Ovis aries: one gene and its partner. The protein of the gene in region 1 interacts with the protein of each later gene in a biochemical or structural test. Links are inferred from orthologs where the notes say so. Each region holds a gene or a part of one and is shown on either strand. Other genes may lie near its edges.

What was found.
Region 2: the proteins of TNFRSF8 (region 1) and TNFSF8 form a complex in vitro, tested with the Homo sapiens proteins (2 studies listed by BioGRID and IntAct). The link is inferred for Ovis aries from reciprocal best matches to the Homo sapiens genes TNFRSF8 and TNFSF8.

Annotation. Positions count from the first base shown.
Region 1 is NC_056065.1:40,856,202-40,860,020, forward strand, and holds part of TNFRSF8 (tumor necrosis factor receptor superfamily member 8), read right to left. Parts: intron 1,312-3,819; coding exon 1,218-1,311; intron 850-1,217; coding exon 692-849; intron 1-691. UniProt on the Homo sapiens protein: Receptor for TNFSF8/CD30L. May play a role in the regulation of cellular growth and transformation of activated lymphoblasts. Regulates gene expression through activation of NF-kappa-B.
Region 2 is NC_056055.1:8,880,650-8,884,238, reverse strand, and holds part of TNFSF8 (tumor necrosis factor ligand superfamily member 8), read right to left. Parts: intron 2,831-3,589; coding exon 2,759-2,830; intron 1,303-2,758; coding exon 908-1,302; 3' UTR 1-907.

The DNA of each region.
Region 1 (3,819 bases):
CTCAGTGGAGGGAAGGCCTTGCAGAGCAGAACATGAGAAGCACTAGTCAGAAAGGAAAAGATGGACCAGTTTGACTACACTGAGATTAAAAACGCCTCTTCATCAAAAGACACCATGAAGAGGATGAGAAGGCAAGCCACGGGGTGGGAGAAGATGTTTTAAACTCAACTATAAGACAAAGGGCTCAGACCCAGAATTATAAGAAGTCCTAGAGATCAATTCAAAAAAACAAAGAGAAACAAAAACATATTCATCAAAGACTTGTTTTTCATTATTCACTACAGGCAAAAAGGAGAAACAATCCAAATATCCAAAAACTGTGTGTTAAACAAACTGTAATATTCTTATACATTCATGTACAATGGAAGACTATCAGGTAATAAACAGGAGTAAATGGGGACCCTAATCTGTTGCCATGGGAACTAGAGGCGGGCATCATATTGATACCTGCAGAGATGGGCCTGCTCCACTGCCCCAGCATGCCTCGGTGTTTGGTACCCAAACCAGGAAACAAGTGAGTCCTTCCATTCTCTACTCTAGCCCTCCAAGGTCTCAGTCCCAGAAGGCCTTGAGAGCCTCTTCGCCCCATACTGGTTCAGTGACTGTTTGCCCTGACCACCCCACACACAGCACCCCACCCACTGGACACCATTGCCCTGGAGACTGCCCCTGGCTCCTCTAGAGAGCTTACCTGGATCTGGATTGAGCTTCACCACGAAGGAGCTGGAGTTGGGAGTCATTTTAGAAGCATCTTCTGGGGTGAGGGGGATGTCCCCTCCAAGAAGCATGGTCCTGGCACCAGGGCTTGCTGGGGAGGTCAGGGTGGGCTTGGCCTGGGGGATGGCGCCACTGGGAAAGAAGCCAGAGATGGGACTGGCAATTCTTCTGATGGTGCAGGGGGAATCTGTGCTCAGGGGCAGCCGTTTCTATAGAGAAGGGGCCCCCAGACTCTGCCCACAGCCTCTGGCAGGCCCTCTGGCAGATCCTGGGAGCAAGAGCTGTGTTTTCTTGTCCTTCTGGGTCTCCTGTGTGCTCCGGGAAGGCTGGGCACACAGTAGGGCCTCAATGACCTTTCTGCTCAGCAGAGAGGCCCCCTGGAGCCCTGACACCCTGGACTGACCCCCATCCACATCCCCAGCCCACAATGCCCTGGGTCTCCTATCAGGTGGGACAGCCCCACACAGGGGTCAGCTGGATAGTGTGAGGCTGAGAGTCACCTGGTGGGGCCCTTGCAGTCCTGTGGGCTGGCGCTGCAGTTGTGGCTGGCCCTTGGGGAAGCTGGTTCACAGACGGTGTCCCTCTGTGCTGTGCCTGCAGGGAGGACAGCGATGCCTTCAGCTTTGGTGCTGAGGAGCCAGAGACTCCAGGAGCAGACCTCTTGCCACCACAACCCAGGAAAACACAGCGGCCATCTGATCTTTGTGCCTGCCCAGCATCCGTTCACCTTCGGGGTAAAGTAGCCCAGTTTTCCCGGGAGAATTACACCTTCCACATTCAGTATCTGTGGTAAGGAGCTGGAACAGACTGACCACCCCACTCCCACTTCCAGGAATAGCCATGGGACGGGCTGCACCAATCAATCCATCCCATTCCTGTGGCCATGATGGACTGGCTCAGGAGTGGGCACATGACCCAAACCATGTCTATGAGAAGCAACTTCAAGGTTTTGTTTTTGTTGTTGAGAATATAGGAAGGAGAAACAGATTTTCCACTGGAGTTGAGTAGGAAGCAAGTCTGGAGCTGCTGGTAGATATTTTACAGGAAAAGCAACACACAGTGGGGTAGAGATGAGAGACGGAGAAAAGACAGAGCTCCTGGATCCAGCCACACCTGAAGTTCCACAAAGAAAATTTTCAATTACGTGAACCAAATAATTTGTGACCTCCAAACCAAAGAGTTCTGAAGAATACTGGGTGGAAGCAAAGTGGAGAAGAAACCATAGTGCTTTCAATCAAGTGGACCTGAGTTTGAACCTTTTGGTGGAAGTGGCTATGAGCGAGTCTGACTCATCTCATCTACCTGCACTGTGGTGGGGTGACAAGACTTGAGCATAAGGTTCAAACACTGGATTAGATATTCCCTGCTCTGTGATCTTAAGCAATTTACCTGCCATCTCTGAACCTCAGTTTCCTCACTTGTAAAATGGGGCTAATACAGCCTTATGGAGTCTGGAAAATTTCAGAGGAGAAAGTCAGTGCAAGGTCTTAGGGTAAGACTTAGCTATAAGCTTCACCTAAGGCAGAAAGTACTTTCCATTCTATAGCTGGAGAGACTGAGGCCCTGAGAGTTGCTCGGTGGGAACTCTCACAGAGGAATCGAGCCAGGGTTTGGCAGCCAAAGGATGGAGTGCTTTACAAGCAGTGCTAGCCAATAAAATATGTGGATCACAAGTCACTTTGTTAAATTTTCCAGTAGCCACATTTTGGATAGTAAAGAACAAACAAGTGAAATTAAGCAATACATTTAACCCAATATATCTAAAATATGAACTTTCCCGATGGCTCGGCAGATAAAAAATCTGCCTGCTAATACAGGAGATGCAGGTTTGATCCCTGCATCAGGAAGATCCCCTCGAGGAGGAAATGGGAACCTGTTCCAGTATTCTTGCTTGAAAAATCCCACGGACAGAGGAGCCTGGAGGGCTGCAGTCCAAAGGGTCACAGAGAGTCAGACACAAATTATGTTAGTAGATAATCAACATAAACCAGTTAATCCTAAAGGAAATCAACCCTGAATATTCACTGGAAGGACTGATGCTGAAGCTGAAGCTCTAATACTTTGGCCACCTGATGTGAAGAGCCAACTCATTGGAAAAGACCTTGATGCTGGGAAAGACTGAGGGCGGGAGAAGAGGGCAGATGATATGGTTGGATGGCATCATCGACACAATGGACATGTGTTTGAGCAGACTCTGGGAGATAGTGAAGGACAGGGAAGCCTGGCGTGCTGCAGTCTATGGGGTCGCAAAGATTCCGACTAACTGAGACTGAACAACAAATTCTACATAAGAAATAACAAAATGCATACTTTCTGTGTACTAAGTATTTGAAATCCAGCGCATATTCTATACTGACAGCCCATCTCAAGTGACTGGCCACATTTTAAGTGCTCAATGACCACAGATGGCCAGTGATACAGCTTTAGGCAGCGGTCTGGGGGGCAGGAAAGAGAGGCCTCTGGCGCCACCGTGTGGCAGATGCAGGAATGCCGTCGAGAGAGCCAGAGCTGGTCCACAGGTAGCAGCAATAGAACTCACAGCTGCTTTTCTTAGAGAAGAGCTTCTAAGCAAGAAAAGCCCCCATGTAAGGCCTTCCAGTTACACTTGCTCATTTACAGAAGGTGAGACCGAGGCCAAGAAACGGCTGGGAACACACCCCACAGATGCAAAGCTGTACAAAATCCCAGGTATCTGATACCCAGTTCAGAACCCTTTCCCAGGTAGCACTAGTTGTCATTGCAGAAGACACAGGAGATGCAGGTTCAGTCCCTGGGTTGGGAAGATCCCCTGGAGAAGGGAACAGCTCCCCACTCCAGTATTCTTGTCTGAAGAATCCCACGGACAGAGGAGCCTGGGAGGCTACAGTCCATAGGGTCGCACAGAGTCGGACAGGACGGAAGTGACTTAGCATGCATATATGCACCTCGCCTGCCTGCAGCTGGCAGGCTTCTGAGGATCCGTCTACTGAGGGTTCTGCGTGAGCAGGGCGAATCCAACCAGATTTGAACTCTACCCGCCCCCAGCTCTGATCTCCCGGTCACATCAGTCGACAGACATCTCTGAGGAGCAGATATTGCGCCTCGCGGGGAGATGACTGTGAA
Region 2 (3,589 bases), on another chromosome or scaffold:
TCCTGACGGTCCAGATCAGGAGAGGAGGCGGCCGTTCATCATAAGTCCTCACCATTTTCAGAGTTATCATTGTCTGTCAACAACACAGTGAGGCCTTAAAAACCCTCCACAGAATGGTTTCCTGTGAGCTGTTTGAAGTGGGGAAAGAGTTCATGTGGGAGACAGCAGCCGCTCTTACCAAACGGCTGATCACCTTGACGGCTGCGCGCTGAGTGCTTGCCGAACTCGCGGCACTTTCCTGACGGGAAACAAAAGCTGTCTGTTGCCTTATTGTCAGTCTCAGTTCCGGCAGAGTCAAGCCTGGCCGGGTGGTTTTCCAAATACCCACAAGGTATTAGATTCAGGATGGTCAGTTTCGCACACTTTAGATCCTACTGTTCACTCCATTTGCCAAGCAAGGTGCCCTGAACCTCGTCCCCAAATCCTGACTCTGCTGAGGTGACACGGCAGCCAGTAAGTACCATCAGTTTTATGCCAATGTGGGGGCCTTTCCTCTGGCTGGGGGCTTCGGGAACAGCGCCTGGAACCTTAGTTCTCAGGTATGTGATGAGAGAGGCTTGGCTTTTCTGACATGAAATCCAAGTTCCAGGGAAGGGAGAGGACTAGCTCCAGGTCACACAGTGAGTTAGTGATTGGGCTGGGCCTAAATCCATCCCTTCTGGTTCCCGTGTGTGGCTCTGTCCGCCAGGCCACATTGAGTCCCCGCCTTCTATCTGGAAGATACTTCACTCAGAAGTCTCTTTTTAACCCTGAGTTGGATCTTCCCAGGGGATGGAAGTGTACTATTTAATTCCCTTTGTGTTTTTCAGTCTTGGCCTAAAGTTTTCTTTTTTTCCCCCAAGTGTCTGGAAGGATAAGTGCTGTGTGGTAGGGAGTTGCTTTCTTCCCAAAGGCCAGGAGGGGTGGTTCAGTCTGAACTACTGTATAAGAAGATGGACAACACATTCTCAAGGGGAAAGGTGTTTGTATCCACATACTGGAATTTATCCACCTTGACTGATATGGTGGTGTTGACCTGGAGGTGTTCCAACAAGAACTGGGAGAGGTTCTGGTATATGTTTTTGGCTTGTGCTCCAGACTCACACACTGTCACCAGGGTCTGCTTTTTAACGTCTTTGTTGATGAGGAGCTCCAGCTTCAGGTCGACGGAATGCTCTGGGCATTTCACAAGAAACTGCAGTTGGCAGATGATGAAGTACCAACCTGGGAACTGGATCACCAGGTTCTCATCCTGATATCTGACTCCATGGATGATGCCATCTTTGTTCCAAGACAACTTGGTTTTGTTTATATGCTTTGACACTGGAAGGAGAAAGACAAAAGGACCTCAGAGTCATTAGGCAAATTTCGGATGCAGATTGGAAAATTTGAAATCTTTATTCAAGGTTCCCCATTCAAGCCCCGTGTTTTCTGTAATATTTTCCGCTGGTTCAGCCATCTGGAATATCTTCCAGATATTATGTCACTGCTAGGCACTGCTGAGTGTTCAAGGTACAGGTACAAAACCATCCCTCTGCTTTTGTAAAGCATAAAGCTGGAGGGTCAGAAAACACACAGTCCTAGACCTTTACCCCCTGCAGAGGTAACTGTTTTCCACTTAATCATTTTATCATCCTGTTATTATTATTATAAGTTCTACTGTTCCCTTTTCAGACTATAAGTTCCTGGACTGTATTCCTTATAAGTTTTGGGCTATCATGGACATATATTCAATCAATCAATGAACATTTGATCAACAGGGGACTGCTATTGGGTAAGCACTGCACAAAATATCAGAGAAAAAGCATTCAGTTTGGTTCAGTTAGTAAGCAATTCAGGCATCAAGAAGTCTAGGAGAACCTCAGTCTGTTCTTTCACATTCAGATGTGCCCCTTAACTATTCATTTTCTGAAGTTTTAAATGTCTTCCTCTCTTTAAAAGGGCAGCCAGACATCATTGTATAGAATAAGTTCACATTAAGGGATTCCTCCCAGCTGGGATTTATAGAGGAGCAGAGAATTAGCAGGCCCTCTAAACAGACATGTTGGTGTCAGAAGCCAAGTCTGAGTCTTTTCACTGACAAGTTAAAATCAGCCCTGATGGGTCCAGGTGTCTTTCAGAATTGGGAAGCTGGTGTGTTCATTTTAATTGCTTCCCTTTAAACCTCATTGCAATTCAACTGAAGAATGAGAACTAATCTAACTGCAAAATTGAATTTTGAAAATGAGCAGGATGGCTATTGCAGAGAATCTTGGCCATCTCCTCTGTACCTCATCTTTCCTAGCATAAATGCCTCTTATTATTTCGTCTCTAAGGGACCTCTTACCTGAAGCATGCTGCAATACGCAAATGGGGCCTGTGCCAACATGGTCATCAAGCTATCAGTCTGGACACCAGGAAGTTTTGTGACTCTCTTGTGAATGACTTGATAGAGGCAGAGATTAAGAGCCTGCTTCCCACGTACGAGGGAAAGGACAGTACCCTTGGCCTGCAGCCAGTAGGTGAATGAAGAGGGGTGGGGGTGGAGCACCGATTCCCCCACAGGCCAGGGAGGCAAACTTCAAGGAGTGGATGAGGCTTAGGAAGCAGGAATCTTGCCGCTTTTGAGAGTAATGCTCTCCCCTCTCCCCCAAGCCATTTAAATTCAAATTATAAAAATTATCACACAGGTTAAACAAAATACACATGCAGGTCACATTTGCCCGTGAGCCTCTGCTTGTGACCTCTGGCCATAGGAGTGACCCTCATATGGTTGGGGTTCCTGGTGTTGGTTACTGACCTTGGAGGTAGGCCCATGATTTCTTGAATGGAGCTCTTTTCAGGATACATGAGATGTCCTCTGAGCAATTCCCTAAAAGTAAGACCACATGTTAAATGCCTGTCTCTGCTCTGGTAACTGGAGACACCAGATCTTTTCCCATGACCCTTTGATGGAGACAGTTACTATTCTGTTTCCATTTGGGGGATAAAAGGAAAACCTGTTTATTTCTCATTTTGCCATCAAGTACCTTAGGAGTTTTTTTTCTTTAAACTTGATTGCTTCCACATGGACTTTTACAAAAGATTGTGGAAGTTGGAGGAAGGAAACCAACAGGGCCTGAGTTCCTGTATGTACCTGGTGCCATTCTTGTCGCTTCATGTACTCCACCTCACTGGATCTCTGCAACAGCTCTGTGAGAGAGGGCTGGCTAAGCCCCTTTGAGAGATGGAAAGGAGCATGGGCACTAGGCAAATTCAGTGCGCTGTCCTATGTCACTCAGCCAGGCAGTGTGGACAGCACACTGAGGCTGCTAGGAATTATCGCCATCCTTCCTTTAAGGGTGCATGTCTGTGTATTCCAGCTGACTGAATGCTCAGAATAGCTCTGCAAGGCTCACCCTGATGTCCAGACATGATCAGCAATACAAGGTCACTGCAAGTTGGAGGAAACCCTGATATCCACTCCCATGTCTATCTGATTTCAGAGACCAGGCTTCCTCCTCAAGGCCATTTTGCCAGACAGGAGGTAAACACATCCTAGCATTCAATTTTAAAAGGATATAAGATCATAGAGACCTAAGCAGGGAGCCTGCTATATGGAGCTTCCTTGGCTGGGAGAAAAGACAAGGTT